Caenorhabditis elegans: one gene and its partner. The protein of the gene in region 2 purifies or fractionates together with the protein of the main gene of each other region. This does not show direct contact. Each region holds a gene or a part of one and is shown on either strand. Other genes may lie near its edges.

Region 1 (10,721 bases), 300 kb from region 2:
CTAATGTTCATTAATCACAATAAGCTTTCAGCCTGATTCTCTCTATTTACTTTGCTCATAGATCGGGTTGTAATATTATGCGTTTGTGAAGTTTTTCGGGATTCAATGCACAAAACTTTTGGAAAATTACCGTGTGTAATCAAGTTTGCAGTAAAATGTCTGAAAATCAAATTCGGATCTTTAGTCGGGTACTGCTTTTCCAATTATCCAAAAATTCAAATTGCCACGTGTCCTATTGATCTCGAGGTTTCCCCAGTGACTTCGCCCCCGTCAAACACTTTTAACAGTTCAAATAAACACAAGCACATTTCTATGCCAAGCTTTTCTTTCTCCCTCTCTCTCGGTCAAGTGGCTTCTTAGAAACTTCTCGAAAAGTGCTCGGAGCGTCGCTCAGCGATCAGTGTGTTTATTCATCCTCGTAAAATAGTTATTTCGAAACTAGTGACTGTCGTCGTCGTATACATTCAATTAATACACGTAACCGAAAATGAGAGAAAAGCAGAGGAATATGGGATTGGGGAGGGAAAAGTGACAAAAAAAGCATGATGAACAAGAACTAAAAATAAATACTCATAACAAAGAAACAAAGAGAAATTAGTTTAAATATCACAGAATTATTGCTCCTTCTGAATTGTTTACAACTCGTCCTTCTTCTGGAACGACTTCACACCGTGCTTGGTCATGAACTTCTTGAGATCTTCCAAATCACGATTTCCAGAATATTTGATTGGTTCACTCTGAAAATTAGTTTATTTAAAATGGGCCTATCAAGGATCCGAAGTCTCACTGCGATCATACCGTAACCTACCGTACTCCAAACGTTGGTTACGGTATAGGCGGGATATCATGAGATTGGAATTTATTATTACCGGCATGTGAAAAGTTTCAATTTTGCTCCAAAAATAAGGTACTCGGTCGGGGTGGTAAACGAACGATTTTCTTAAATGCAAAAAAGTTTGCCCATTTAAAGATTACTGTATTTGCCAAATACTCATATTTTCGGGATTTTTTCACCTGTTTGTTTGAAAACTTATTTCAGATACTTCCAATTCTGATGAAAAAGGTATAAAAATGAATGAAAATTCAGTAACTACAGTACTCCTTAAAGGCGCAAGCTCTTTTAAGTTTAAAAAAATCGGTCGCTTTGAGACCGGGTACCGTAACTCTTGAAACGAAAATAATCGCAAAATTCAGCATATGAATCATAGCTTCTGAACGAGTTTTTTTTCAAATTATATTTTACCTTCTTTCCAGCTGGAGCAAAGTAGATAGTTGGGAAGCCTTCAACTGCGAACTGGCTTGGAGCATCGTTAATCGTGGCGTCCATCTTGGCGAGAACAACATTTGGCTGGGTCTTCTTCAAAGCTTGAGCCAATTCAACGTATTTTGATTCAAAGCTCTTGCAATGTCCACACCATGGAGCATAAAACTCAATAAGTACATCCTTTGATTCATCATTGACAATCTTATCAAAGTTGGATCCAACAACGGTTTTAACTGGTCCCTTATCATCTTTTGGAGCTGGAGCACTCTTCACGTGAGCCTTGGCCTTTCCACTACTGATTTGTTTCATGAATGCTTCAAGATTCTCATCAAGTTCTCCATCAAACTCATCTGGATTCATTGGATATTTCTTTCCATCATAACCAAATACAACTACATTATGCTCAAGTCCAGAATCTCCAAGTCCAAGCTCTTCAAGTTCTTTGGCAAACTCCTCTTCATCAGCAACAGCGAACTTGTACTTGTCCTTTTGATATTTCTGAGCAATATTCAAAACTTTGGATCTCCAGTATTCACTTCCTTCTCTATATTGAACGGAGAAATCAGCATTATAATATACAACAACCAATGGTTTTTTCGTGTATCTTGTTGCTGCGTTCTTCTTGGTCATTTTTCCAACAAGTGGTGCAGAATGTTCACGGAAGAAAGCCAAAAGATCCTCTGATGTGGCAGCAGCCTTGTTGTATGTTCTGCTCTTTGGCTCAAATTTGCTGTGGAACAGAGATGGATAGAAGATAATAATGTCATTTGGCTTGGCATCCCACTTCTTGAATGCAGCTGGATCTGATGTATGTCCCATTGTTTTGAACTCTTCACGGAGCATTTCAGCGGAATCAGAGAATGCTTCGAATGCAGTTGAGTCTTCGGTGGCAAAGAATCCAATAATAGTGACGTCATCTTTGCTCATGAATCGTTCGACATCCTTCAGTTTTGGCAATTTCTTAGCAGCTGGCTTCGATTGATCAGTCATGTACTTGATGATTCCAGCAGCCTCTCGTGGTCCGTTATAATCAAATCTTCTTCCATTTCTGATGATCTTCATTGTTGGGTATCCACTGACTCCATACTTGGTTCCAAGATCCTTCTCAATTGTAGCATCAACCTTTCCTAGCTTAACCTTTGATCCTTGAGCCTTCAACTTTTGGGCAGCCTTCTCATATTCTGGAGCCAACTTCTTGCAATGTCCACACCATGGAGCATAGAATTCAACAAGAACCAACTCGTTGTTGGAAATGAAATCATCGAAATTTTCAGTTGTCAAAGTAACCACCTCCTCTGGTGGTGGCTTATAATTTGGATCAACTCTCGACTCAACCCATTCAACAATTCCAGCTTCATCTCTACCTCCATCATAATCGTTTGGACCTTTTCCATCTTTCCAGAATTTGAGAGTTGGATATCCTTGAATTTCGAATCTCTTTCCGAGTTCTGTTTCGACGGTTGCATCGACTTTGGCCAGTGGAATTGACACTTTTGAAGATGCTTTCTCGTATTCCGGAGCCAAGTGCTTGCAGTGGCCACACCTACAAAAATGATAATCAGTGAAAGATTATGAGATTTTGCATCTATGTATTTGTAAAAAAAAATTCCAAAGTTTTAAACTTTTATTATGAAGCGTCTAAAGATGAGAATAGTCGCCATCTCGCCACGCTTCCAACGAGCTACTTCAACTCGTGTAGATTCATAGGCTGCTATTTGTATTTAATTTTAAAATAATAATTAGGTTAGCAGCCCATAAATCAACATGAGTTAATGTAGCTTGTTGGTGAGACCCACTCGCCTACGATATGGCGGAAAATCTCATTTTAGACGTCTACGATAAAAAATCGATTTGAATTTTTCAATTCAATTTTTAGTTTGAAACCAATTTTCTTGATTTTTAAAACTCACCATGGAGCGTAGAACTTCACTAAAACACTTGGATTTTTCTTGAGGAAGGCATCAAAGTTCTTGTCAGTGAGCACAACGACTCCTTCGTCCATTTCGTAGTTCAGCTCATCATCTGAAGCATCTTCCGTGGAACGAACTGCCGATACACAGAGAAGGACGACCAGTGCGAAGAAGCGCCGGTCGAACATCATTTTTGATACCCTGAAAAGCATTTACTTGTTGGAAGAAACAAAATAAAAAGTACGGGAGAAAACGAACAGGGAGCGATAGTATATTAGACAAAAAGTATGTCAATAGCCAGTTGGCTAGTTTGTGCGAAGGGCGACGATAATGAAATGCCTGATACACGTGTACTAAACTGAGAGGCGCAGACCGAAATGGTTGTTTGTACGGGAAAAAGAAAAAATTCCGACGTGGAAATGTGTGGCACAAAATTTAAATATTATCTAGATGCGAGATTTTGCGATTTTTCCCCAAAAATGCGATTCCCGGTCTCGAAACGACTAAACGAACAGTGTGCGTCTTTTAGGGATACTGTAGTTTCCAGCTCATCGTTATTTTCTCCTGTTTCGTTAAATTATATAGAAAAACTACACACTTCGAGGAAAGGGAAGAAACGTTATGAAAAATCAATAAATAAAAATTCAGCGACAGCAAACTAGTTGAAAACTACAGTACTCTTCAAAGGCACACACTCTTTTACATTTATGAGATAATGTCGCTTCGAGACCGGGCAATATCTTTTGTACGACAATCGCAAACTTCCGGATCTCAGTAATACGCCGATAAATATAAATATTGAAAGTATATTCTCGACGTCTGTTTGCACCTGTTGAAATTAAATACATTTTTTCTTTAAAAAACAATTTTGAAGAGTAAAAAGAATTTTAAAAAATACTTTTCTAATTTCCTGTAATAACTAAAATTAAAATGTTGAATTTACGAACGAGGAAATGAAAGGATTCATTGAATCGATAGATGAAACCATACAAAACTAGTGAATGAGAAAAGGAGAGAGAGGTCGCCTATACTCGAGTAGTAACTGCCCTCCCTTCTTATTTCTCCGACTCTATTTGGCCGTCACAGTACGTGGTACGGTCCGACACTCGTCAAATATTATACTGTCATTTTGTGAGATCACCGACGACGGAGCCATATCTGCGTCTCCGTGTCGGCTGATAGTATTTTTTTGATGTTTGCGTGTCCTTTGCCCACAGTTGACCTGCCCTGCCCAGCTCCTTTTTGTCAGATCCTCCGATTCTAATTACTCTCTTTCCGCGTTCACTCTCCTCCATTTTTCAATCAGGCACCGCTTTATCCGGAGGTAAATATTTGCAGTCAGACTCTGTTCGTCGCGGCATCACCATCACAATGCGGAACCATTTCTTGCCAGTTTGCAAACTCATTGGACAAGAGGGACACATTTAAAAATATTACAATCATTCATTGGATCTGGCATATCCAGAAGTTCGCAACAAAAATTTAAAGAAACGGTTCAAAAACCGATAATTTTATCTCGACAAGAAAATAAAGGAGACTATAAAATTGCTAGAAACGCCATCGAAACGGAGCCTGCTCATTCGTCTGCTGAAGTCTATTCCTGAGCCAATTGTTGCTTGATGTCCTTCCATTGCTTGTTGGAGTTTTTCTAAAAAATATCGAAATAGGATAATATACCATTTTGAATATGTTTCTCCAGTCTTTAATTTTTTTGGTTAAAATTCATTTGTTTTTATTATAGAGGAATGCTAAAAACTATAAATATAGTAGTGAAAAAAACGGATTTTTATTTTTTCAATTAAAAATGGCTGTTTTTGTACTCGGTAAACCAGAAAGACAAATTTTCATTCAGAGAAGAACGGAAAAATGTGTTTCATTTTCTGGTCGAAAACGTGATATTAAACTGTATATCCTTTCGGATGATTTTTTCCAGTTTTAAAATCAATTTTTCAATTTAAAAAATTTTTGGAAAGAGTTAAATTTTTGTGAAAAGTTCAGATGATTGTAGATAATTAAAATTAGAAAACTGCATTAATCGAGTTTTTAAATAGTAGTTTTTGAGTATTTCCAAAATTGAAAAATGGGAAAAAGCACAATTATAGAATACAGATATACTTTTTTTTAAATTTCGAATTTTAACTAGTTTTTATGGGTTTTTAACCGAAAAACAAGAAGAAAATTTTGTTTTTCAAAACCTCAGAAAATCGAAAAATCAAAATATTTCGTTTTTTGGTTTTACAATATTTATGTAACGGTGCATCGAACAAAACTTTGTATAAATTAGTGTGTAGACCAAAATACACATATTGAATTCGGTACCAGAATAATTTATTTTGGAGTTTTTTCAAAAACTTGTCGGTTTCGTTAAAAAAAACGATTTTGTGCATCTCTCTCGTTTTTCCAAATAGCCAAATTACTAAAATTTCTGTGTAAACTAATTGTAAGGAGGAAATTAAAATATAAATTTTATGTTTTGGCAACTATACAATTTTTATAAACATGAAAATGTCAAAAATGCGATTGTCAGGATTTTCAGAGATGAACCCGAAGCGAATCGTTTTTATTGGAGATAGTTTTTACACTTCCAGTTTTCGGAAGGTTCATTCATCAAAAAAAAAAATGAGTGAAAAGCACTATATTCTGTCATCTTACACTTATGAAAGTTTTGGTTGTCTTCGAAGGGTTATGATTTCTTTAGATCAACGGAAAAGTCCTCATCGAAACTGAAGAAAAAATCAAAAATGGAATCTGATTTTCATTTGAATAAATGTTAAATTCTTGGGGGTTCCAATTGATCAGAACAGATATGAAACAAAAATTCGATTGAAAAATTTCAGTATTTTTCATGTTTCTCATAAAAATTAAAACTCACAGTATCCCAATAGAAGTTGGTGAGCCCTTCCAAAGTGTAGTTGAAGGTGTAGGCTCCGAAGGCGGAAGCCAAAAGGATGGTGGAGAAACGGCGAGAAACGGTGTTGTAGACGATGGTACCCAGCGACATTCTGAAATATACACTACTTTCAATAGATGTAGAATACATACATTAAATAATACAACAAAAATTGAGGAATTTCTACACGGAAATAAAATAATCAAAAGAAAACTGTTTGAAAGATCTTATTCAAGGAATTCAATGATTAATTGCTAGTACTAGATCGAGAAAAATGGGAAAAGTTATTAAAATAAAACTTTGTTATTAGAAAAACCGTCTGAAAAAAAAACCGAATAAAAATGGAGGCGAGAGACGAAAAAACGTGCGGAACTCTTAAGGAGACGCAGCATGTCTGACGGTTTGGTCTCGCAGCGATCTATGGGAAGCGCGACACACTTGAAACGAGTGTTACCGTACTGTGTGCCTTTAAACAATTTTTATGCTACTGGCCTAAAGATTTTTTCTCTTTTTTTCCGTAAAAACTGTGAAAAATAGTGAAATTTTCGTCAATTTTTATGCCTCTGTGTAAAAACTTGCTAATCTTTCTAGTATTTAACGAACTCTGCCTTAGTTTTTGCTGAAATATGTTCAAAAAATCGATTTTTCGTTCATGTGCTTTTTTTGTAAATGTTTCTCGGCAAATTGTTTTACATTTTTGTTCCTCGTAGTTCTCTATATTGACACCTCTATCAAAAATTTTTTTCAGGGTTAAATATGACTAACTCCAAGGGTCTCAGACGCGGAACGCGTTACATGTTCGCTCGCGACTTCCGCAAGCACGGAGTTGAGCACCTCTCCACCTACTACACCCAGTACAAGCGCGGAGATCTTGTCGATATCAAGACCAATGGAGCTTTCCAAAAGGGTATGCCATTCAAGGCTTACCACGGAAGAACCGGAAGAATCTTCAACGTCACCAGAGGAGCCGTCGGAATCATCGTCAACAAGAGAGTCCGGTAAGTATTTGAGTTTGAATGACACCTAAAACAATGCTAGCATGCTGACAATTTCATTTTCGAAAGTAATTATGATAGTCTTTTTCAATTTTGAAAAGCAATCTAATCCAACTCATTTTGACTGAAATGACTGATTTTTTCAGCGGAAACATTCTTCCAAAGAGAATCAACATCCGTATCGAGCACATCAAGCCATCCAAGTGCAGAACCGACTTCTTGAACCGTGTCAAGTCCAATGACGAGAAGAGAAAGGCCGCTAAGTCAGCTGGACAACCAGTCCCAGCTTTGAAGAGACTTCCAGTCGCCCCTAGAGGAGCTCACACCGTCACCACCCAGAACAATGAGCCAGAACTTCTCGCCCCACTCCGTTTCGAGATTGTTGCGTGATTTCTTGTTTATAAACTGTTTGTTATAAAGTTGTTGCTTGATTCATGCGTAAAATTTTCTCTGAAAAAAACAGGGTGATTTGCTAACTTCAGTTTCTCAACAATTAGTGATAATTTTTCTACCAATCTTGGCTTCTTTACAATTTCCTAATGGGGTTATTCAAGTAATGTAGCAAAATGTATTTAAATACATTTGTGACGTCGCAAATGTATTTAAATACATGTTTTCATCTACTTGAATAAGGTTGTGACGTAATTTTTCTACACTTTTTAATTTTCCGACACTACTTGAATAACCCCATAATTTTTAAGAATTTATCTAAAAATGAACCCTTACACTTGGTTCTCAAAATACGACGTCTTCGCCGACAGTTATAGAAACTCTGAAAATAATCCTATCATGCTTTGCGTTTTAAAATTCATTTTCCAAGCGTTGTATGTTTCAGAGACCCCCGTGAATTACCTTTTTGAAGGTGGCCTATCACTTGTGTGTTCATTGTCTTGAACTAGCATCTCGGGAAAACGAAATTCTGTGAATCGTATTGCGCAAAATATCACGTAGCGAAAACTACAGATATTCTTTAAAAGACTACTGTAGCGCTTGAGTCGATTTACGGGCTTGATTTTCAAAATTAATTAATATCATTGATCCATCGATAGAGTATTAACATTAGTCAAAAAAAAAAACGAAGAAACGAAGAAAAGTGGAATATCGCTGGCACTATTCTAAAATAAATTCATTTAAAAAATCCATCCCGTTAATCTACACAAGCGCTACAGTAGTCATTTAAATAAGTACTGTAGTTTTCGCTACGAGATATTTTGCGCCTCAAATATGTTTCACACCCAGTATTTTGTGTCAATACGGTAATAAGAATATAAAACGAAACTAGGAAAAAGTCCCAGGAAGTTTTTAGACTGGAAATTTCATAAAATCTAAAAAATTTTCGATTATTTTATTATGGTATTCGGTCATTTTGGATCAGGAAAGTTTTAATTTTCAGACATAAGGGGCATCATTGGTTTTAATGAGCTTCATACCGTTTCTGAAATATTCCTCAAGTTGTTAAACGTATCGCTATAATTGTAATGTTTAAACAGTACAATCTGAAATCATAGATTTCCAGGATTATCATATGTTTCTTCATTCCCTCCTTCCATTTTTGATATATTTTCTTCTTTTCCTTTTAGTCACACAGGCGGAAAATGTCCTTGGCGAGGCGTGTATGTTTATCTGTGTCTCTTTTCCAACGAGAAATGCTTTAAACGTTGTAGAAAAGTGAGAGCAGCGGTCTCCGTAGAGCAAAGCAAAAAACAACAAGAGAAGATATTAAGCAACATGATGTTCCTCTGAAGTACGAAAATTGTGATGATGCATCTAATTTCCTATACTGAAACTAATTTCTAATCAGTCGACTCAACGAAACAATGTTTTCAAAAAATACGAGAACAGTCAATAATATACCGAGTGAAATATCAAGTGTTTGCATTCCAAAAAACGAATCGCTGGCTCATGTTTATCATATCACATACGTCACATTGAAACTAGATTTTTACAGATTAACGTTCACAATGAAGCCATGTAATTAAAAAGGGATAGAATTTTAAAGGACAAGCCACAATTTTTGCTTATTATTAGAAGGTATTCCAATTGAACATTATTGTCGGTGATAAATTGTAATGTTATTTTGACCACAGTAATTTTCCAAATTAATTTATCGTAAAGGTGGAGTTCGAAAAATGGGAATTTGACTCAAAAATACTCGATAGATACCGAAAGGCTGAAATACTACAAAAGAAGAATGAAAAAATAATCAGGTATGATTGAAAAGTTTCCAACTCTCGCTATTCCCCATGTTTGAACTTCTTCCAAAATAAGACCTGCAACCAATCAGCGATTCGATCGGCCCATTTTTGAACCAATCAGATGGAGTGTGCATCTCTGTTGATTTTGGTACATTTTCAGTCCATAGAGTCCAATTTTGGCGGTTTTTGAATACCTATTGACTGAAAATGTACAAAAATCAATTTTTACGCTACATAAGTTACCAAAAAATGCGATGTGATAATTTTAAAAAGGTTCAGTTGCTACGATAAGGCATGAAGTCATGTAGATGAAATTTCAAGTTTTCACGAAATGGGGAGTTTGAAATAATCTTAAGATTCCCTTCCAAGGCCTTCCCTATCGTAGGCTTTTCTTCAAAGTTCAATGATCAGAAATCAATTTAGCTATATTCCAATATTTAACTTACTTAATAAAACCCCTACCTATTCTGATTACAAACAATTTTTCTTAATTAGTACGTGGCTCTTTGTAACGTTCAAATTGAGGTCTCCCCCTTATTCCCGTGCACGCCAACCTTCAGCAGCAGGCCTCATCTTGCGCGCGCTCACTCGCGTTTTTCACTGCACCAGCAGGCCATTTTCTGTACTCTCTTCACTATTGACGCTCTCTCGTCCCAGCGCTTACTCGTCGTCCTCGTCCCGCCGTCCGACAACGAATTCAATGTGTGTGTGAGTGTGTGTGTGTTCGCATTGGACCTTTGCAAGTTCATGTACTGTCCTATTTCAGGGACCATCTTTTTGTTTTTCTCTGATATCTTTGTTCTATATATCTCACACTTAAAAATCGTTGTCCGGCTGCTGAGATTGAACAAACAAGTTGATAGAGAAGAGAGATTTGTCGTCACCTCATGTGATATGAAATCAAAGTTTTGATTTGATCAAATTCATGTAGAATTCGATTTCTCGATTCTGTGATATAGCTTCTTAATTATAGAACTCTCGTACTCAGAAAATAGGTATTTTCCATAGTTATTCCAAAACTATATCATAGTTTTAGTTGAACCTATTAATTTGATTTTGAGCCAGCTAATTTGTGTTTCAACGTCCGTTAGAAATATCTTTCTAATATTTGATAGCTTTGTGAAGTCGAATGTTTCGTTAGAGTGTTCTCTTCCATAACCTCTTGAATACCGGAATTGCACTACTAGATGATTGTGATGTCACACTTCCAAAACGATTTCTCTTTATTCTGTAAATATTCTATATGTAGCATGTCTTGTTTTTCCGCAAGTTCGCTTTAATAAGTGTTTGATCCGTCTTTTTTCGAAATCTCGTTTTTAGTGATCTACATATAATCTGCCTCTTCTGTCTGACCCTATTCCTTATTCCTTGAGCCTTGCAGGTTTGCCTTCTTTTTTTTTTGAAACACCACCTGTACCATGACAATTTGTACTAAATACCTTTTTTCTCGTTATGGGTTCATATTTT
Region 2 (11,049 bases):
CCTTTAAAATTGTTATATTAAAACAAAAAAAACAAAAATGAAAACAAGAATAAACAATTAACCTACACACTCTAGTATCTAAATATTTAAAAACACTATCTCTTAAGAACATTTAGGAACGCTTCTTTAGGAATCTGCACATTTCCAACCATTTTCATCCGCTCTTTTCCTTTCTTCTGATGACTGAGTTTCTTATTGAGTCGTTCCATTCCTCCACCACCAAAGTTTCCCTTCAATAGCTGCGAGAAGTCTCGTTTCATTGGCTGGATAACAATTTGAGATAATGCTTTCGTTGAGGAACCAATGCAAGCTTTAATTGTAACTTCAAATTGCTGTCGTGGAATTTCTCGTTTCAGACGTTGAACTAAGATCTTTGCACGATCTCTCGCCATTGCCGCTGGTATGATTTGCGAGAATTCACTGACCTTAAATTAAATTTTAATGATAAAATTTTAAAACAAAACCAATTCCCACCTCTTTACTGTTGATAAGAATTGTAAGTTTCACCAGCCGAGTATCCTGCCATCCATCGGGCTCATAGTCAAACGATGCATATCCACTTGTCAATTTCTTGAGTCTTTCAAAGAAATCAACAGCAACTTCTGCAAGTGGAAGCCTCCAAAGGATCACGAGACGAGTCGAATCGATCGATGTGATCTCTCCTCGTTCACCACGACATTCGGAGCACAATCCATTGACAGTACCCATCATTTCATTTGGAACAATCATTCGGACTTTTACCATTGGTTCTAGGAAGCTATCTACATCACTTTCATCGGGGAACTTGCTTGGATCAAGAATTCGAATCTCCTCCATTCCATCATACCGCTTTTTTCGAATCGTCTCATTATCCTTAATCTTCGCTCGATATTCTACACTTGGTTGGCAAAGGATCACACTTGCATCGTATTCTTGTGATAGACGAGCTCCGAAAACTTCCATGTGTAAAACACCAAGAAACCCGATTCTCCATCCAAGTCCAAGTGCTTTGCTTGAATCGGGAATTACAGTAACCGAAGGATCATTAAGGCATAATCGTTCCACAGCCTGTTTTAGACTTTCATAATCTGATGTTTCGACTGGAAATAAGCCAGCATATACGGTTGGTTTCACTCCTTTAATTTCAGCGAATGTTTTTACAGAATCCCGAGAAGTTGTTTCAGCGAAAAGTGTCTCTCCAACCACAGCTTCGTTAACTGTCCTCATATTACACACCAGATATCCAACTTGACCGGCTCTTAATTCTGTGCATTTTACCATTTCTGGTCGCATCACTCCAACTTCTGATACATCATATACTTTCTCATTTTGATATGATTGAATTTTATCTCCTTTCTTCACAGAACCTTCTTTTACCATAATATGTGCAATTGCTCCGCGAAAATGATCGAAATACGAATCGAAAATCATTGATCTGGAATTTTTTTAAATTTTGAATTGCTTTTAAAGAATAATTAGTTTAAACTTACCTAAAAGGAGCGTCTATAATTGCTGTGGGTGCTGGAACACGGTCAATTATAGCTTCTAAAACTTTATCCACATTCAACCCAGATTTTGCAGAAATGTGAAGACATTCTTCTGGATTGAATTCAAACAAATTCTTCAGTTGAGTCTCAACCTGAAGTTTTAAAACTTTAAAATAAATTTTTAACATCAACTAACTCACTGACTTGATATCTGCTCCAGGAAGATCAATCTTGTTAATAACTGGAATAATTTGAATGTTTTTCTCGAAGGCTAGCCAAAAATTCGCAATAGTTTGAGCTTGAACACCTTGATTTGCAGCCACGAGTAGAAGAATACCATCACATACTGCTAAACTTCGGGAAACCTGAAAATTGATTCGATTTTTTCTAGAGATTTGCTAATTCTTTTTTTAACCTCTGCTGAAAAATCTACGTGTCCGGGAGTATCAATTAAATTCAGAAGATATCCACGATGTCGTAAAGCTGCAGTTTGAGCTTTTACAGTAATTCCTCGTTCCCGTTCAACTTGTAATTTGTCCAGCATCTAAAATAAAACTTGAAATAGTTGAAGTAAAAAAGTTAAAAACCTGCTTTTGTCCTGGGGGAACCGCACCACACATTTCTAGAAGCCGATCGGCCAGCGTTGATTTTCCATGATCAACATGTGCAACAATTCCGAAATTTCGAATTTTATCCGGTGTAAATTCGCTGAGATTTACCAATTTTGTTGGGTCGCCGGCGGTTGAATAATGTTTACATGAAACCCGTAATTTTCCAATAAATAATAATTTTAATAGACGCCGCCGAGGCATTCTGTAATATAAATAGATAAGTTTAAAGATAAATAACCTTGTTGGTTAAAATTTTCTTCTAATTAAAAAGTCACAAAAGCGCTCTACTGTCATACAAAAAGAGAGATGAGAGGCGCAGACATTGTGTGACGAGAAAATTTTTTCACAGGCCTAGAAATTGTAAAATGACAACTTTTCTTCATTATTAATGTGAATTATAGAGAAATATATGAAAATTGATATTTCATTTAATAGAAAAAGTATTTCCAAGTGTTCTTTGAGTTCAAATTCTAGCTATCTCTGGGGAAAATGTGGATCAACTCTATACAATCCAAGAAAAGGGGCGGGGCAAAGTTTCCAGTTATTGAATGTTTTTTCACTCGGTGAGCTTTCCACTTTCTCTCTCACTGCCGCTATTTTGGCTCCAGAAATTAAGGAGTTATATGTTTGTTACCATTGCACGATTATAATAACTATTAAGATTTTCAGTTCAAGCTTAACTTTTTTTGTTCTACTCTGACATTTCTACATTTCTCTCAATTGTTCCCCTTCCATCGAATTGACACAAGTAAAGAATTGCTGTAGTTTTCGATACTGGATATTTTGCACTTTAAATTAATTGCACAATACATATTCTCAAAATTGTGTGTTCCCGTAATATATAAGCCTCTTTCTCATCAAATACCGAATTTTTATGTTTTGTTTTTTGGTAGACCAACACTGTTCTGTTGGAAATTTGTGTCAGTGCTTCTCTGTAATGTTTATGCCTTTTCCAAATCGATAATATTTGTATTTATTTTATTTCAAAAAAATGCAGTAAATAAAATTGTAACATGGAATTTTTTCTTGGGTGAGGGCGACGGCGACTGATGTTGAATGAGTGACATAGACAAAATAATGATTTTCTGATTAAAGACTTTGGTTATCTGGAACAAATTTAAGAGATGACAGAAAAATAAGATTTAAGTTAAATGATAATATTGAGAGTGAGTTGAAACGAGTGAAAGGATGATGAAGGGAATTAGAGAGACAGAGAGATTTTTCATAAAACACATAATAGAGAATCAGTGATTATTGATTTTTATTTATATTTTGTTCATTCGATAATTGCAATATCATCGTCGTCTTCAACTGTGACGACTTCTACGGCAGAAACTTCTGGTTTTGAAGCAGAATTTCCTGCAGCAGCAGAAGAAGATCCATTTTCTACTACAGCCTTCTCAGAAGACGATGGCTCGGATGGCTCGGGAGTAGCTACAGCTGGTTCCACTATCTGAAACATTTTTATTTTAAGTTTTATAAGGAATATTATCTTTAAAGTACGTTCAAAAATAGCTCTTAAAAGTCGTAGCATTTCGGAAAACTTTTTATCGCAAAATTTCATATTTTTGAATAAAGATAAACATAATTTTAAGTAAAGTTATGTTTTACGTTTTTTCAATACTTCGGTATTAAAATTGTTTAATCAGCTCAAAAACAACCGAAAGATAAAAAATAACAAGGATGTGCGGCAAATAAACCTTCCAGCAATATTACTTAACGCTGAAATTTTTAGGAAACTGAAAATCACTGAATTTGCCGAACACAGAATTTGTCGGGTTGTAGAACTTGTCAATTTTTCGGAAACCGGCAACTTGGTTAAGACGTACTTAGAGGGGAAAAATATGAAAATTTCTCTAAAAACCGTATTCAAATTATATAAATTATTTAAGAAGTACAGTATTCTACCCATATTCCTCAACTTTGACTTCTCCTACATCAGTTGACTTGCTTTTTCAAAAACTTACACTATTAAAAATATTTGTTGAAAGTTTATTGTTTTGATAAAGCTAACGAACACCAAAATATTAGCAGTTAAAGTAGAAAAGTAATAAAAAATGAAATGACATACCGTAGTCTCAATGACCGTCTTCTCTACAATAACCAATTGAATCTCTTCCTCCTCTTCTTCCTCTTCCTCTTCTTTCTTTTCCTCCACCTTTTCCTCTTCTTCTTCTTTCTCGTTTTTCTCTGATTCTAATTGTACGTCCTCCTCTTCTTCTTTCTCGTCTTCTTCCATTTTTTCATCTTCCTTCAAATCCTCAACCTCTTGGGATTCTTCCTCATCTTCTCCTTCTACAGACTCTTCTTCTTCAGGTTCTTCTTGAACCTCCTTCTTTTTCTTTGGCACTGGCTCCTCATCATCTTCAACTTCTTCTTCATCCTCTGCTTTTGATTTCTTATCAGCTGAAGAATGTTCTTCATCCGTATCACTATCTGGTCGGATATCACCTCCTGCTAGTCTCTGCCTCTTTGGTGGGGATTTTTTGGGTGGGGGTTTTGGAGCAGCTTTAGCTCCACGAGCAGGAGTTGAAGCAGATGCTTTGCTTACTGAAGCAGAAGCTTTCGAAGATGCACCCTTCTTTCCAGCAGCCATTTTATCTTTTTTAGCTTTGATTTCTGCTTTACGAGCTGCTTCTCGCGTGAAGAACGCTTCAATTAGTGTTGGATCGACTATATTCTCCTTTGGTTCCCAGCTGTTGTGACTGAAAATTACACGATTTAGTCCAAACAAGACTGTAATAAAAATAACTAAAATTTTCTGGAATTTTCAAAACTGAAAATGGGTATAATTTGGAATAACTAATTGAATCAAAAAAATATGCTTCAAAAAACTTTATGAAAATGTTTTGGAAAAAATTCGAGAGAGAAAACTTACGTATGGTCATATCCGAGCCATTTTATGTAGAACTCGCTCTTTCCCTGCAAAATCGTTAATTACATATTTCAAATATATCTTGCCATTTTATTTTCTCTTCAATTTCTCCCAATCCATCTCAAACCGAACGTTCCCTATGTTTATTTGTCTCTGCGTCTCTCAAACTTGATTACGCGTTTGCAAAAAAAAAACTAGAGAAGGATAGAAGAATGACTTGGCTGAGTGCCAGGCAGGAAAAAAAAAGTAAAAGTTGAACTTAATTACCTTCTTCTTGCGATGTTCCAAAATTGACTCGACGGTGTAGAGCTCTGATCCGTCGGCCATGGTTCTACAATTAGATTGGTGTTGGTAAATAAGTGGAAAAGTGAAAAAAAAATTGAGTGGTAAACTTGAAACGTTTTAAAATTTTCTCTATTAAAGTTGTTGCTAATTTTGATAGAATTTAATAGTAACAGCTAAAATGTAATGTAGAACATAAAAATGACTAAAGTTAAAATGGTTATATCTGGCTTAACATAATTTGTATAATTTTTATTTTTTTTTTGACTAAAAGCCACCAGGGTTGCAACAGGATTTCAAACAATACTAAAATTACAACATGAGCAATGAAAATTTCAAGGAAAATATATTTAGGCAGTATACCTCAGGAATCAAAGAAAGCCTTCTAAAATCTGATGGTACTACTGCCATTTTGAGTTTCGGAGTATGTTTGGAAAACTGCTCCTGTAAGAAATTTCAAAATAAAAATGAAAAAGAGAAAAAACCATTTTTGAACTACATTAAATCTAAAAAATTGTAGAAAAAACACATTCTAGAATGTAGGGGTTTTTTAAAAATATATTATGAGAATGCTTCGAAAATAACATATACAAATATCGCAACAACAAAACATAAAATTTACAAAAATTTTGAAAAATGGTTATCAAAAGGTTTGCACTAGCTTTTGTGTACTGTTCGTCACCTCGAACTTTCGAAACCTTAAGATTTTTGTTACTTTGGATAAAAAATAATTTTGTTGAAATGTTTTTTTACTACATTTTTGTGGTGACTATGGAAATTTACCATTTTGACTGTATATTACCACTAGAATTATTAAAATTTTAAACTTTTTTTTTGCTATTAAAAAATAATGTTTTTTTGGCACTAGAGAAAATTTTGACAAGTTAACAGAGATGGGAAGACAGTGAGAGAGTTATACGAGAATGAAATAAGGAGAAGAAGACGACGACATCGCCTTGGTTTGTTTGTGTGTATGTGGGCTGTGTCTCTCTGTGTGTGATGGAGGTCTATTTTCTCTTTTCTGTCCGCTCTTTCCATAGTGTATAACCTTCGACAGCGTCTGCTCCTCTTGCTCTGACACACTATTCGCAGTCGGGCTCTAGTCTTCTCGCTGTCCGGCCACGCAGGCAGCCCCTCACTGACGGACAGCACAGTGCTTTTCTCTGTTTTCTCGCACGTCTATTGCTTTTTCCCAATAGGTTGACATGGCATTTTATAGAGAGAAAAGGGGGTGGGAAAATATGAAATATAAAAAGAGAAAGGGAGAGACGCATCAGATGATCATCACACGGCTGCAAATTTCTAGCTGTTTACACTAACAATTGAGTATTTTCTACAACTGGTTGGGTTACTGTAGTTTTTTGAAAAAGTCAATACTTTTATACCGAACCGATTAATTTCAATATTTAACGTTTCACAGTACAGAGTTCACACGGACAAAGACTCCTGTCACTCTATGTACAGAACAGGGCTGTCTGGCTTTTCAGCAGCTGCCGCAAGTTTTAGCCAAAAGTCGGCTGACGAAAATTCTGATGTTCGGCAACTCTGGCAATTTTCGAAATTTTTTGTGACAACTTTGGCTAAACTGTGTAGTCAATTCCAAATAGGTTTTGATCTGAAAGACGAATTCAGAGAACCTGGGAGATGCGAAAATCTTACGGAAACTGAAACAAGCTTGATAAAGTTGAAAAATTGATTGTGTGGAGCAGGGGTGTGCGGCAAATTTGCCAAATTTGCCGAATTTGCCGAGCACGGCAAATTTCAAAAAAGTAGATTTGCCGAATTTTTCGAAATTTGCCGCACACGTCAAAAATTTGACAGTACAATTTTGACTAAAACAAGTGATTTTTTAGCCAAAAATTTAGTAAAATAATACAAAATTGAGCTATTTTGATGCTTAAACAGACATACTACGCGGAACTTATTCAGAAACCAGATGTGTGTTAAGAATTCAGTAGTTTTGGTGCTCCAAAAAACATAAAAAATATCAAATTTTATCAAGAAACAAAGTGTGAAATTTTCTCAGAAACAATATCAGGTATGACTTCATTTTATAAATGGAGTATGGAGAGTTACAACTCCTCCGATACAATTTACGAATTATGCTATAATCGTTGGAAAGTTGTTGTTTCCACTCTGGGTTTGTTGACTGTAAGAAACGTAATGGGATTACTGTACTTATGGAAAAAGCTCTTTCAAAGACATGATGTTATTCCGAAGACATCTAAAGTTGATACTACATTTTACGCGCATACTTCTGTCATGCGGATAATACCGTATTCAATCTATAGGAATATTTTACAATTTATGCCGGGCGATAAAAGTACGGTATGTTATCTGAGTCACAGTTGAGCCAAATATTTTTTGATTGCCACTTACTGAACAAATTCTTGATATCAATCCCGATTTTTCTGACGCTATCATTACTTCTCGTACGAAAGCATCTATAGAATGCCCAAAGGCTCTGAGAAACATCACATGTTGAACAAACAAAATATGAGATTTCAGATATCAAATTTTAAAAATAAAATAAGACGCCCAAAAACGTATAATTAAATAATTGTAGCAATTATGACTTTATGATTCAAAACATTTCGGAATAGTCTTGAATCTATAATTCAACTACTTTTGTTTCGTTTGACTTTTTATTGAATATTCCAAGAAGATTTAGTTTTCAACCAGATTTTATCGGTAGTTTTAACTTTACACACTACTAAGAATTTCAACAGGGAAAATGGCATCAAATTGCCTGGTCCTTTTGAGTGAAAACTTTATACATGTATTGATTTTTTAATGAAAATTTCCGACTAATATTTTGCTACTTTTGATATTGAAAGAATCTCAAACAATGTGGGTCTCTGACCAATCCAAGAATGATTACAAATATTGAAATTGTAGATTTAACTAGTTGGATATTCATTGTTGTCTGTTTCACAGCTGCCACATCAAAAGAATTCTTAAAATATTTACCACAACTTACTATTAGCACGTCCTCGCACTATAGTAATATCGGTGTAGCTTAAAACTTTAGAATTTTAGAGTTTAAGTTTATTCAAATGTATCACATATCGATTAGTTTGGCAATCCGTTAAAACGTCATATCCATAAAATTTATCAATTGTTCCACAAACTTTAGCTAGTTGAACAGTTTGTGCAAGTAATTTCTCAACAAGCAATATCTTCCTATGCAGATCCTATTGGTTAACCACAATAGCAAAATGTTCAAGTTGATCGACGTTACCTGAAAATTCTAATGAAAAGTTTGTTCTGCAAGATTGTATAAGAATTTAAGTTTTGCCAAAAAAAAGTTTACCAATTTTTGCTGACTATCAGAATTAGGGATCTGGGAATAAATGAAATACTACTGCTAACTTCTGTAAGCTTAGTTATAAATTATCTGGATTGACAAATCAACGTGTGCTATCTACAAAAGGAAGTACACAGATTTTATGAATCTGCGGATTTTATGTGATCTGCCAATATTTTTGGAATTATTGTATTATATCGATCAATTCGTAGTAACCAAAAAATCGACAAATTGAAAAAAGAAACTTTTTTGCGTGCTTAGTTGGTTATTGGTGGAAACATTCTGATTGGCGCGGTAGTTCAAAATTTAAATTTTCACAACCATCCGGTTGAAAGTATATTGGTGCTGGTCCAATTATAAAATTGCTTCATTGCTACTTGCTTTCTTAAATACTGTTCTTGTTTTCAGACGCTTCGCATAACGATTCTCCAAATAAAATGTTTATTGTGTGATGATTGTGTAAAACAGACAAAAAAAGAAACTAACTCATCTAAAAATAGGTAAATGAGAGCAAAGTTTTAAGATCACTACTACTAGAAGCGTAAAAAATAAGACAAAAGCAAAAACCCGACAGAGGAAAAAAACGGAAGAGGTACACAAAATATGGTTTGGTAACAAACATAATTATTTACAAATTTATATTGAATTAAAATTTATGTTGGATTTAAAGTTGGTGGTTGTGCTGTAGAAGTCGTTGGTCGGTTCTGTAAAAAGTTGAATTTAAAATAATTCCAAAATTCCTAGAAAATTAACATACCGATGCTGGAGAACTGGTCGCTGTTGCAGCATTTGTTGGACTGGTAGATGAAGCTTCAGAAGATGTGGAAGAGTTTCCCATGCTTGGTGGGCGTTGACTATGCATTCGATGTATATGATTCATAACCTGATCAATTGATTTCTTCTTTCTATCAACAACTGGTCTTCCGATGTCTAATGAAGATGGTAGAAGTATTCTTGGAAACTCATTGTTTAGTGGCAAATCCCACTGCATAATTCTATAGAATGTCTTCCATTTTTCCACATTTGACTCGTCGGATTGAAGTTCCAAAAGGTACAATTGCAATTGATCACTGTGCGACATTCGATGAATCTTGACATCTGCCTCATCGCATCGTCTTCGAGACAAATACATATTGTAATCAGCAATTGAAAGAATTTTATTGAAGTGTGGCATTGGATCACCAAGGAAGTAGAATTCGAGGAAACTTGCTGGATCAGCCTGTCGAGAATTGCACAGAAGACGATACTCGTTGATAGCTTTTATTGTGTTGCTCACATTCAATCTCTGAAAACTTTAATTTAATTTTGAAACTTTATCAATGATTTTGAACAAAACTGGCACTTATACGAAACCCTGCATTTACTGAGAATTCATTGAAGGTGAAGTAGTAAGTTTGTTGAATGAATGAATTTTGATTGAATGCATGTCAAACTATTCAGCTTGACCAAAAATACTCTGTCAAAGTTTTGATAAAGTGAGAATTTTTGAAAAACTTAAGGGCTTTTGAGGAATTCAAGACTTTGATACGTGTTCAAACTACTACAACTTCACCTTAATAGATGTTTAACTATCTCTTTAAAAAATCAACCAAAATAATGAGTTTGATGTCAAAAGCAATTCTCAAGGGTAAGATTTCCTGCCAGAAACATCAATTTTAACAATCTACATAGGCGGTAGGCAGGCACAAAGATTTGAAACCGTGCTTGCCTATTATTGAAGATTTATTAAATTTAAGAGTATAACTTACTCCTGATTTTTCATATGGCGGGAAGTGCCATGGAATGATTGAATTGGTGAGCGTCGCTGGTGATGCAACAGTCACATATGTATTGTTATATGTCTGCTTAGAATCTGGCCTAAAGTTGCACGGATCCGGTGCTCCAGGTCTCAAAAACTGCAGTTCTCCTTGGAGAGCTCGATGTGGTGGCTGTGGAGGAGGTGGTCGAGGTGGGTTCAGTTGTGCCATATTCATCGCCATTGCTTCAATCTTCACGAGGCGATTGCGTACTTCTTCAGACGGCTGCACAGATGAAGTATTCAGAATTCGAGCTCTTTGGTTTGAATTTGGAAGTTGCATATATGGATGTGCATAACGCTGTCCATCTGGTCCAATCATAAATTGCGGTGAACGTTGGAATTGTGGAGGTACGCCTTGTTGACGATTCTGGAAATTAAAGTATAAAAAATTGAACTAATTTTCCAGGTTTCTGAAAACCTACCTGTTGTGGTGGCAGAATACCAGGTGGATATGCTGGTGGAGGCAATCTTTGCTGTCCTTGTGGTGGCATTGGTGGCATGTTCATGTACTGTTGAGGAAGTATTTGCTCTCGATCAATTTTTTCAATTTCATTCTGGACCCTTTGATACGCCTTTGCCAATGTGAACTTCTTGTTCATAGTCATTGTCGGACTTTTACAAGATTGGGCATTGATTTCCTGTAGCTGTTGAACAAGTTCATTTCTTCTCTTTATTCTTTGAACGCTGGCAATGCAGATCGAATGGAAGAT

What was found.
Region 1: the proteins of cec-1 (region 2) and C14B9.10 fractionate together in Caenorhabditis elegans (co-fractionation; one large-scale study listed by BioGRID). This does not show direct contact.

What each region holds. Positions count from the first base shown.
Region 1 is NC_003281.10:8,126,319-8,137,039, reverse strand, and holds C14B9.10 (Complex III subunit 9), read right to left. Parts: upstream 6,189-10,721; 5' UTR 6,176-6,188; coding exon 6,047-6,175; intron 4,823-6,046; coding exon 4,769-4,822; 3' UTR 4,604-4,768; downstream 1-4,603. Other genes in the region: C14B9.2 (putative protein disulfide-isomerase A4), read right to left, coding at 636-737, 1,244-2,807, 3,175-3,365; rpl-21 (Large ribosomal subunit protein eL21), read left to right, coding at 6,821-7,062, 7,206-7,449.
Region 2 is NC_003281.10:8,420,570-8,431,618, reverse strand, and holds cec-1 (Chromo domain-containing protein cec-1), read right to left. Parts: upstream 5,287-11,049; 5' UTR 5,280-5,286; coding exon 5,220-5,279; intron 5,000-5,219; coding exon 4,956-4,999; intron 4,783-4,955; coding exon 4,149-4,782; intron 3,531-4,148; coding exon 3,354-3,530; 3' UTR 3,036-3,353; downstream 1-3,035. Other genes in the region: ZK1236.1 (Translation factor GUF1 homolog, mitochondrial), read right to left, coding at 96-425, 475-1,414, 1,470-1,618, 1,667-1,831, 1,882-2,010, 2,054-2,278; sor-1 (Sop-2-related protein 1), read right to left, coding at 9,195-9,245, 9,299-9,826, 10,290-10,706, 10,762-11,049.